Ovis aries: one gene and its partners. The protein of the gene in region 3 interacts with the protein of the main gene of each other region in a biochemical or structural test. Links are inferred from orthologs where the notes say so. Each region holds a gene or a part of one and is shown on either strand. Other genes may lie near its edges. The genes, in order: TOR1AIP1, torsin-1A-interacting protein 2 and TOR1A.

What was found.
Region 1: the proteins of TOR1A (region 3) and TOR1AIP1 form a complex in vitro, tested with the Homo sapiens proteins (2 studies listed by BioGRID and IntAct). The link is inferred for Ovis aries from reciprocal best matches to the Homo sapiens genes TOR1A and TOR1AIP1.
Region 2: the proteins of TOR1A (region 3) and torsin-1A-interacting protein 2 form a complex in vitro, tested with the Homo sapiens proteins (4 studies listed by BioGRID and IntAct, with this or other methods). The link is inferred for Ovis aries from reciprocal best matches to the Homo sapiens genes TOR1A and TOR1AIP2.

What each region holds. Positions count from the first base shown.
Region 1 is NC_056065.1:60,508,182-60,511,831, reverse strand, and holds part of TOR1AIP1 (torsin-1A-interacting protein 1), read right to left. Parts: intron 2,202-3,650; coding exon 2,160-2,201; intron 1,227-2,159; coding exon 1,143-1,226; intron 1-1,142. UniProt on the Homo sapiens protein: Required for nuclear membrane integrity. Induces TOR1A and TOR1B ATPase activity and is required for their location on the nuclear membrane. Binds to A- and B-type lamins. Possible role in membrane attachment and assembly of the nuclear lamina.
Region 2 is NC_056065.1:60,446,796-60,450,445, forward strand, and holds part of torsin-1A-interacting protein 2, read right to left. Parts: coding exon 3,398-3,650; intron 1-3,397. UniProt on the Homo sapiens protein: Required for endoplasmic reticulum integrity. Regulates the distribution of TOR1A between the endoplasmic reticulum and the nuclear envelope as well as induces TOR1A, TOR1B and TOR3A ATPase activity.
Region 3 is NC_056056.1:6,701,415-6,705,573, forward strand, and holds the start of TOR1A (torsin-1A), read left to right. Parts: upstream 1-1,308; 5' UTR 1,309-1,357; coding exon 1,358-1,538; intron 1,539-2,183; coding exon 2,184-2,449; intron 2,450-4,159. UniProt on the Homo sapiens protein: Protein with chaperone functions important for the control of protein folding, processing, stability and localization as well as for the reduction of misfolded protein aggregates.

The DNA of each region.
Region 1 (3,650 bases), on a different chromosome or scaffold from region 3:
GTGGTTCAATAAGAATTTATTAGAGTTCAAAAGGGATTACAGAGCCTGTGGTTTATGTGGTTTCAAAGACTAGCACTGGTGGCAATGGTATCGAGCAAGCGGCTATATGAATGGCTTAATCAGTCTCTCCGTTTTAGAGCACAGGTGTATGCATATAGGAAAACTAACAACAACTAACAACAGCACATAATTTGAGCGTTTACTATTTGCCAGGCACTCTCTGAGTAATTTAACCTCACAACAAACCAGTGAGGAAACTGAGGAACAGAAAAGTTAAGCAATTGCCTGAGGGCACAAAACCTATCAATAGTACTGGAAGAGTGAAACGCAGTGAAACTCAAGAGTCATGATCTTAACCACTATGTTAGAGTTTTGCACATCTCTGTTGGGATTTATGAGTCAAGAAAGGATGGGGGAACATGACAAAGGATGGGAAATATAAAGAATATCAAATGCCCATAAACTGGCTTCTGAGCTCATTTTGAAAATAGAATGATTAAGTAAAACATAAATAAATTATAGAAATTCTCAAAAGGTGGGGAAAAGTAGAGATTTTATTGTTAATGGGACTAGCATATAAATAAAACTACTCATTAGTTACACTGTTTACAAATTTGATCGGCACTCTCACTAAGCCTCAAGCTGGTACTTCTTTTTCCTTCAGCTGATTTTTTCCTTGAATAAACTAAACATCAATTTTTATGAATAATCAGAAACTGTTACTGCTAACTTGGTGTGAATTTGAACAATTCAGAGATAAAAGTAGTAATCTAAGTTCACTAAAACTTCCTAAAAGCTAGCTAACACTCCTGACAGTACAGTGAGTTTATGCCAGTGTGATCAGTTTCTCTATCAAAGTTTTTTAAAAACCACAAATAACTTTTTTTGGTGCAAAAAGATATGTTCCACAAATAACAAGGCAAGGTAGAAGTGATTTGTTTGTTAGGTAGTATGTTACTAATCAGATACGTGATATGTATATGGAATCAGTAATTTTAATAAATGTTTAAAAGTACACTTTTTAAAAAGTAGTTTTAATACTTTAAAATATTTTTTAAAAAAGCAAATTCACAGAATACTTTATACTCTACCTAGAGCTACAGCTCCTAAGAAAAGAGTCATAAAGCATAAAGCAATGTTACCTTCAGACTCAACAGAATCCCCGGATCTGACCTTAACAGTAACATCACTGTCAGAGCTGTCTTGATCATTTTCTTCAGTTTCCCCTAAAACAAAATAAAAACACATTATTATAGTCTTTATTCTACATCTTTAAAGATCTGGATTAAAAAAGTAATAATAAAAACAATCTGACATTAAAATGAAGCCTTTTAAATAATCAGATATCAAATTGCTATTTATTACGCTTACTATCCTGAGTCACAAAGTTCTAAATAAGCTAAAATTGAGCTCATTCATTTCATGTTCTCTGAAGTACATAATTATATCCCAAATGAATACTCAGTAAGATTGTATTCTAAGGCTTTAGAGTAAAAAAGTAAACAAACGAACATTAAACAGAAGGAAAGTTTTACCTTATGGTGAGGAAAAATACAATTAGAGTACAAATTCATACAACATTAGTATATGCACTAATGTGTTTGCATATACGTGTGTATGTTTGCCAACAGGGCGTGTGTATACATACACCCATCCACAAACATTTCAGTATGCAGGGCACTAATCTCAGATTATGGTGAGCTTAAAAACAGACTAACCTATGGCTGATTCATGTTGAGGTTTGACAGAAAACAACAAAATTCTGTAAAGCAATTATACTTCAATTAAAAAATAAATTAATTTAAAAAAACACACTAAATTTTACTGTACTATTCAAAGATAAGATTTGGAAAACTAGTTATTTTAATACCATAATCAAAGGCTAGCACATGACAGAAATGGAAATATTAGCTTTGCTTAAATTAATTTCAACACACAAAAGATGTTTAATATATACATAAAAGCCATCTTCACACATTCTGTTCTATTTTACCTGTCCATTTAACAGTTCAGATTTTAGGCATGAATATTTTTTTTCCTGAAGAAAAAGGCCTTCTTTTCTGTCCTCTCTCTTAAATACTTACCAAAAGTGCTTCTAATCTTAATAACAACAACAAAAAGATTTAGAAAATACTGCATGGTATTTTAAGTGAAAATACCTTCTTCCAAGTAATTGACCTTCTGATGGACACTGGCAGCTTCTAGAAAAGAAAAGCATACATGTTGTATATAACATCATAAGCCAAAGTTCAGGAATCAATAAGAATATTTAATTTAGGAAAGTGAATATTACATCACAACAATTAAACTTTTTTTTCCCATTAAATCATAAAAAAGAAAGGATTATTTCCCTTTACACTATTTCAGGAATAAGTGTGCTACAAACTAGAATCAGAAACTGTGTTTCTTCACTGAGAGGTCTATTTGTATTATAAAATGTAACTTGTGTTTGTAGAAAGTGTGAAGCTCTATGTTGATAAATAGAGTCCCCTAGGTTGGTAAATCGGAGAGGGCAATGGCACCCCACTCCAGTACTCTTGCCTGGAAAATCCCATGGACGGAGGAGCCTGGGAGGCTGCAGTCCATCGGGTCGCTGAGGGTCGGACAAGACTGAGCGACTTCACTTTCACTTGTCACTTTAATGCACTGGAGGAGGAAATGGCAACCTACTCCAGTGTTCTTGTCTGGAGAATCCCAGGGATGGGGGAGCCTGGTGGGCTGCCATCTATGGGGTCGCACAGAGTCAGACACGACTGAAGTGACTTAGCAGCAGTAGCAAGTTGGTAAATAGGTTTACTGTATTCTCTTTCTCATATCTGCTAGATTTCCGATACTCCTTTGAAAAAGCCAACCACACAAGCAGAGCTGAAAAAGCAGTGTTTTAATGCACTGGTGAGTCTGAAGAGATTGTAAGAAAGGTAAAGAAACGCTCCTAGTTCCAGCAGGTCCACATACACCACTGTTCTCAGAGTCAGAGAATTTGGACAAAGATAAATGAGTAAAATGTGTCAAAGAAATGCTGTATTTTCACATGGGCTATTCTGATTTTGGGGGGTTTTTGGCTGTGTCATTTGGCTTGTGGTATCTTAGTTCCCCAATCAGGGACTGAAGCTGGGGCTGTGGCAGTGGAAGAGCAGAGTCCCAACCACTGGACCACAGGGAATTTCCTGATTGTTTTTTTTTTAAATAAAGAAAGATATACCCAAATGTAAGAATTGCACAATTGGGCTAAAATGTTGCTGAATGATCATATGAGAACAGAATGAACCAGAATGAAAATTTGTTTCCTTTCAGATCTTCCTCTGTTGATTGTAACTCCTATTTGCTTTTCAAAAGAAAAAAAGAATTGTATTGTAGAAGGCAACTAGCAACCCATCATTCTATGAATGTGGAAATAATTTTTAAAAATCAGTTTAATTAGATTGGTATAACATCAATACTAGCCAAGCTACTTTTACTTAATAGTGGCAAGTGCAAATCAGCATTTGACAACATTTTTGCTCTAAAAAAATTGACTCTGAGAAAACTGCTAATACTACTATGCAATTCTTTCTTTGGGTTTCCCTGGTTTCTCAGCTGGTAAAGAATCTGTCTGCAATGCAGGAGACTCAGATTTGACTCCTGGGTCAAGAAGGTCTCCTGGAGAAGTG
Region 2 (3,650 bases), on a different chromosome or scaffold from region 3:
ATATCATGTCACAGAATTTAAGGACTGAAAGGATCTATAGTGATCACCTACTCTAGCCTCCTACCTTACCTACTGTGACAAAAGGTCCAGAGGTGTCAACGGCTTTGCCCAAGACCAAACTGAGATTAGAAAGAGGTTTCTTATCTCCTCAGTCAGTTCAGTTCGGTCGCTCAGTCATGTCCGACTCTTTGCAACCCCATGAATTGCAGCACGCCACGCCTCCCTGTCCATCACCAACTCCCAGAGTTCACTCAGACTCACGTACATCGAGTCAGTGATGCCATCCAGCCATCTCATCCTCTGTCGGCCCCTTCTCCTCCTGCCCACAATCCCTCCCAGCATCAGAGTCTTTTCCAATGATTCAACTCTTCGCATGAGGTGGCCAAAGTACTGGAGTTTCAGCTTTAGCATCAGTCCTTCCAAAGAAATCCCAGGGCTGATCTCCTTCAGAATGGACTGGTTGGATCTCCTTGCAGTCCAAGGGACTCTCAAGAGTCTTCTCCAACACCACAGTTCAAAAGCATCAATTCTTTGGCACTCAGCTTTCTTCACAGTCCAACTCTCACATCCATACATGACCACTGGAAAAACCATAGCCTTGACTAGACGGACCTTATTCAGCAAAGTAATTTCTCTGCTTTTGAATATACTATCTAGATTGGTCATAACTTTTCTTCCAAGGAGTAAGCGTCTTTTAATTTCATGGCTGCAGTCACCATCTGCAGTGATTTTGGAGCCCCCAAAAATAAAGTCTGACACTGTTTCCACTGTTTCCCCATCTATTTGCCATGAAGTGATGGGACCAGATGCCATGATCTTCGTTTTCTGAATGTTGAGCCTTAAGCCAACTTTTTCACTCTCCTCTTTCACTTTCAACAAGAGGCTCTTTAGTTCCTCTTCACTTTCTGCCATACGGGTGGTGTCATCTGCATATCTGAGGTTATTGGTATCTCTCCCAGCAATCTTGATTTCAGCTTGTGTTTCTTCCAGTCCAGCGTTTCTCATGATGTACTCTGCACAGAAGTTAAATAAGCAGGGTGACAGTATACAGCCTTGACGTACTCCTTTTCCTATTTGGAACCAGTCTGTTGTTCCATGTCCAGTTCTAACTGTTGCTTCCTGACCTGCATCCAGATTTCTCAAGAGGCAGGTCAGGTGGTCTGTATTCCTATCTCTTTCAGAATTTTCTACAGTTTATTGTGATCCACATAGTCAAAGGCTTTGGCATAGTCAATAAAGCAGAAATAGATGTTTTTCTGGAACTCTCTTGCTTTTTCAATGATCCAGTGGATGTTGGCAATTTTATCTCTGGCTCCTCTGCCTTTTCTAAAACCAGCTTGAACTTCAGGAATTTTGCAGTTCACGTATTGCTGAAGCCTGGCTTGGAGAATTTTGAGCATTACTTTACTAGCATGTGATATGAGTGCAATTGTGCACTAATTTGAGCATTCCTTGGCATTGCCTTTCTTTGGAATTGGAATGAAAACTGACCTTTTCCAGTCCTGTGGCCACTGCTGAGTATTCCAAATTTGCTGGCATATTGAGTGCAGCACTTTCACAGCATCATCTTTCAGGATTTGAAATAGCTCAGCTGGAATTCCATCACCTCTACTAGCTTTGTTTGTAGTGATGGTTTCTAAAGCCCACTTGACTTCACATTCCAGGATGTCTGGTTCTAGGTGAGTGATCACACCATCGTGATTATCTGAGTCGTGACAATCTTTTTTGTACAGTTTTTCTGTGTATTCTTGCCACCTCTTCTTAGTATCTTCTGCTTCAGTAGGTCCATACCATCTGTCATTTATCATTATATTAAGCTGCTTCTCACACATTAAACTGCATTTTTAAACCAATGTTTTCTTCCCCTACTCAGTGAACCTGCATACCACTGAAACTCTGATGGCACATATTGGTCCATATACAAATCCTATCATTTGCTCATTTAACAAATATTCATAAAGTCACTTCTCTGTGCCAAGAGCCACAGAAACACAATGAGTGAGACATAGCCCTTGTCTTCACTCAAGTTAATAATAAACTAATAAAATGCATATTTGAGATCAGTCATTGACTTACACTGAAACATGGAATTCTAACCCTCAGTCAAGTCCAACAAAAACAATGTCTTATATTTTATATTCCTTTGCTCTGGCAAATAGGCATTTCAGGCTGAGCTTTCAGAGTACTTATAAAACACAAATCCATACAATCCAACTCCATAATATCACAGAAGGTAAAAGCTGGAAGAAACCAGCTGGATATCATCTAGTTCAACTTCTTCATTTCTACAAATAGGAAACTGAAGTACCAGCAAGTTGGGAGATTTGCTTAAAGTCACCCAAGTTAGGAAGTGGTAGGGCTGCAACTAGAATCCGTATCTCTTGAGTTCCAGTTAAAGACTTAGCACACTGCAACTATTCTTCGTGAGGAAAGACAGCATGCTGTTCTCCTTAATATACAAGTGGAGACAATCAGGTATAGAGAAATAACTAATTTGCTCAAAGTCCTATAAAACTGAAATATGCCTGAGTTAAGGGTACTGGCTCAGATGGTAAAGAATTTTCCTGCAATGCAGGAGACCCAGGTTCAATCCCTGGGTCGGGAAGAACTCCTAGAGGGAATGGCTACCCACTCCAGTATTCTTGCCTGGAGAATCCCATGGACAGAGAAGCCTGGTGGGTTACAGTCCATGGGGTCACAAAGAATCAGACAGAGACTGTAGTGACTAACACTTCACTTCAAGGGTACTGTACCACATGCTGGTTTTTAAATATACCTATCTCTTGATTCATGTAGCATTTAGTTTCCCCTAAAGTAAAAGATTTTAAAAAGTGAAAGCAAAAATATGCTTATAAGAAATAAAAGGCCAGAGGTAAATTTTTTAAGTCATACCTGTAAAAAATTTAAAAAATCATAGATACAGTAAATAAATGGAAACTGTTAAAAAATGCAGCTTATGTATAAGTGGGAAGCATCTTATGTAGTGAGCAGAATGAGCTAGCTTGAAAGCGAGAGCATTAGTTGCTCAGTCGTGTCTGACTCTGCAACCCCATGGACTATAGCCTGCTAGGCTCCTCTGTCCATGAGATTCTCCAGGCAAGAATACTGGAGTGGGTTGCCATTCCCTTCTCCAGGGGATCTTCCCAACCCAGGGATCGAACCTGGGTCTCTCACATTGCAGGCAGAACCTTTACCTTCTGAGCCACCAGCGAAGTCTTAGGAGATGAGAAACCTCATTTAATCTCAATATAGTCATATCTCTTTGTGACCTTGGGCAAGATGCAAAGGCCTTAATCCTATGAAGTAAAGAGAAGCTCTCTGAAAAGGAGGGCCTCACCTACGCTGTGTTCCCAGGACAGAACAGTACACAACAGGACAGGCTCAGGGCTTCTCTCACCTGGTGCCAGCAGTCGCTTCCTCAGTGTGTGCTGGCTCTCCAGCCCTGCACTGGAATGGCCAGGGCTCTGGGCATCCTGAGGGTCAACGACTGGTGGCTCCTGAGATGCTCCGGCTCCATCACTGACGTGCTCAGGGAAGGCTGCAGAGCTGCCCACTATGTGTACGTCTGTTCTTCCTACCTTGTCACTTGGAGAACACTTGGGTTCTGGATCCACAGGGTCTTCACTCAGACTCTCTGAAGGGAGCTGATG
Region 3 (4,159 bases):
GCTGATTTAAGTCAGGTATCGTGTGGTTAGTGACATTTGGCTTTGGAGTCGGATCTGAGTCCTGCTCTCAGCTTCTTTATTAAATCCTTGGACACATCCATTTGCCTTGCAGCCTGTTTTCTCATCTGTAAGAGATTTCCTTTTCTTCCCCTTCACTCAGATGCAAGGTCAGTGAAGGCAGGATTCACCTGCACCTCATTTTTTTTTTTCTTTAATCTCCAGGATCTAGTCCATAGGAGATCCTCAAAATTATGAATGAATGAATGAGAGGAAGTAACTGTTACCTGGGAGAGACCTGACCAACACTACCTTATCCAGGTGAGGAAGGTCAACATCAGCAGTCATAAATCATGTTGATTATAGTACCTATGATACGATGGTATAAAAAGAGTATCTCTGTAAAGTATATTCCTCCCCCAAACCCACAACTCCAATCTAATCATAAGAAGACCATTAAATTCCAATAGTTGAGGATCCTACAAAAGATCAGGGCTTTCCTAGGTGGCTCAATGGTAAAGAATCCCCCTTCCAAAACAGGAGGCACGAGTTGGATCCCTGGCTGGGGGGAATCCCCTGGAGATGGAAATGGCAACCCACTCCAGTATTCTTGCCTGGGAAATCCCATGGACGGAGGAGCCTGGCTTGGGGTCGCAAAAAAAAAAAAGCAACTGAACGGCTAAACAACAAGGAAATAAAAAACTTTAATTACAATATCTCAACATGGGCTCATTAATTTTAACAAATGTAAACACGACTGAAGCTACTTAGCAGCAGCAGCAACATAACTAACGACAGCAACAACAAAACCTACTAATGTAAGATGTAAATAATCGAGGAAACTGCGTGCGAGGGTGTGGTAATATGGAACCTCTCTGTACTCTCCTCTCAACTTTTCTATAAACGTAAGTAAGCAAAGTCGCTCAGTCGTGTCCGACTCTTTGCGACCCCATGGACAGTAGCCTACCAGGCTCCTCTGTCCGTGGGATTCTCCAGGCGAGAGTACTGGAGTGCGTTGCCATTTCCTGCTCCAGGGGATCTTCCAGACCTAGGGATCGAACCCGGGTCTCCCGCATTGCAGGCAGACCGTCTGAGCCACCAGGGAAGCCCATGCAAAACTGTTCCCCAAAAGCAAGTTTTACTAAAAAGAAGGGAAAAAGAAAAAATGGCTCCTCCAACTACCCCAGCGCCTAAAGCAGGAAAGGGCTTTGCCCTTCACAAAGATGGCGGCCGCCGGCGTCGGAGGCGATCCGCCCCTTTGAAGAATGGCGGCGCCGGCGGGAGGAACCGGAAGCGCGGTCTGGTGGCGGCGCCGGTCGGCGGTAGGCGCGAGAACGGGCGGGGCGGCGCGGGTCCCGGCATGAAGCTGGGGCGGGCCGCGCTGGGCCTGCTGCTGCTGGCGCCGTTGGCGGTGCGGGCGGTGGAGCCCATCAGCCTGGGATTGGCCCTGGCCGGCGTCCTCACCGGCTACATCTCCTACCCGCGCCTCTACTGCCTGTTCGCCGAGTGCTGCAGCCCGAAGCGGAGCCTCAGCCGGGAAGGTAGGATGGGCCGGGGTCTGGTGCCTGAGCTGGGAAGGGGGTCAGAGTTGGGGGCCAGCCAGGAGGCCGGGAAGCCCGGGCAGTGCCCAGCCGGGGGTTGGTGGGGCAGGGGGGTCGGGCCAGACCCGGAACCGGCGTGCGGCACGGGGCCTGGCTCCTGGGCCACGATCGCAGGCCGACCGGACTTTGGTCTGAGACCTGCGGATGCCAGCTGCACCTTCGCCCAGAAAGCGGGCTGGTGGACGATCGGAAACTTCCTCCAGAGAGTTTCTTGCTCGCTCCTTGCCAGAGACGGGAAGGCTGGTGGGGGCTCTCTCGACGCAGAGCGGCGGAGCCGAATTACTCTGCCCTTTTTTTCCTGCCGGCCTTCGGGTGGGGAGGGACAGGGCCGGGGTGAGGGGCTCGCGCTGTTGGCGGAGGTTCTGGAGCCAGGGTCTCATCCGAAAGTGTGGCAGGACTTGCAGAGGGAGGGCCTCCTGGACTCACGGGCCACCTGGGCCTAGTGCCTACCTATGTCTGCGTCCCAGTAAACGCTTGGAAGAGCTTAGCGGGCTTTGCTGGCTTTGCGTGAGCCTGTAAACTGGGCTACGTTTTGCCAGGTGTGCCCCCTACCCTCCGCCTGACTGGCTTTGTTTTTTTTTTCAGCGCTGCAGAAGGATCTCGACAGCAAGCTCTTTGGACAGCATCTTGCAAAGAAAGTCATCTTAAATGCTGTGTCTGGCTTCATCAGCAACCCGAAGCCCAAGAAACCTCTCACCCTCTCCCTGCACGGGTGGACAGGCACTGGCAAAAATTTTGTCAGCAAAATCATCGCGGAGAATATCTACGAGGGTGGGCTGAACAGTGACTATGTCCACCTGTTTGTGGCCACGCTGCACTTCCCACACATCTCGAACATCACTCTGTATAAGGCAAGGGCCGAATTTTGGAGTCCTTCAGGGATGATGCTTGCTTTGGGGTTTCTTTGTTGGGGGATGGATTTGGATGTTCTATGTTGAAAGGAGTGAGCCCTGAAAACAGCCACACGTGGCCGTTTCCCTTTAAAAAGTGTGGAAATTACAGAGGATTGGAGATGGCAGAAGCAATGACACCATCAAAGCTGGTTTCTGAAAACAGGCTGCGGGTGGTACTCAGTAAGTGGTGTAGTAGGATCTTAGAGATGGACGTAATCAAATCCTGGTTAAAGCTCTTCAAATCTAACATGTTTTATAAAAGGGAAAACATTTCTAGGGAGGCCTAAGTTTGCTTTTATACTTGAACTCACTGATTTAACAGCCTGGCTTCCAGGGCAGACACACCTGAATTTGAGCCCCAGGCTCCCACCTATCAGCTGTGTAATGTTGGGAGAGTCACCTGACTTCTCTTGAGACTCAGGTTCTTCATCTGTCAAATGGCAGCTGTGAGAATTTCTTTTTAAAAAAATTTTGACCATGCCAGGTAGCATGTTGGGTCTTCGTTCCCTGACCAGGGTTTGAACCCGTGCCACCCCCTGCAGTGGAAGCTGGGAGTCTTAACCACTGTGTCACCAGGGAAGTCAGAATTTCTTGAGGCCTTAAGCCTGTCATGTAACATGATGCTCAGCGCATGAGCGTTCAAATCATTGGTAACTATTGCCCTTTTTTTTTTTTGTCTCACCTGTGTGAACACATTTTTCCCTTCAGCTTGGATGAGCATCAGGGTCACTGCCCAGGAGTTCCTGGGATGTGAGGCTTTCGCTGCTACAACTGGGAAAGTTCCAGGCAAATAGGGACGAGTTGCTCTTCCTAGTTAGCATTCCATCTTCGCTGTTTAATAGCTGTGTGACTGAGCAAGTTACGTAACCTCCCTGCACCTCAGTTTCCTGGTCTGTGAAATAGGAAATGCAGTAGTTAACTGCTTTGATGGGTTTTGGAAGATCACAATAAAACGGGTGAACCGTGCTTAGAACAGGGTCTTGCCTGTAGTGAGTGCTCCATGTACACTCTCTGTTGTCTGTGAGAGGGAGGAACAGAATGGAAGGCCTTGGCTGCTAGAGCCCGCCAGACCTGAGGGAATTCTCGTTTAAACAGTGACTCACTCTGTGGCCTTGTTCAAGTCACTCCAGCTCTCCTGAGGTTCTTCTGTAAATAGAGGTTAGCTCATATCTACAGAGCAGAGTTGGGCTTCCCAAGTGGTGCTAGTGGTAAAGAACCCACCTGCCAACGCAGGAGATCTAAGAGACACGGGCTCGATCCCTGGGTTGGGAAGATCCCCTGGAGGAGGGCATGGCAACCTGCTCCAGTATTCTTGCCTGGAGAATCCCATGAACAGGGGAGTTGTTCAGTTACAGTTCATGGGTCGCAAGAGTCAGACACGACTGAAGTGACTTTTCACGAACAGAGCAAAGTTACTGCTTTGGTTAATAGGCACCCATGGAACACTGTACGCATGGTCTGAGTAGCCAAGCGAAACTCCAGATCATAAGAAGTCAAGACCTATATCATAGCTTCCAGAATTTTCCTCAGAAACTAATAGCTAACTCTTTCTTTTTACCTTGTGTGTGTGCTTAGTTGCCTCAGTTGTGTCTGACTCTTTGCAACCTCATGGACTGTAGTCTGCTAGGCTCCTCTGTCCATGGAATTCTTTACGCAAGAATATTGGAG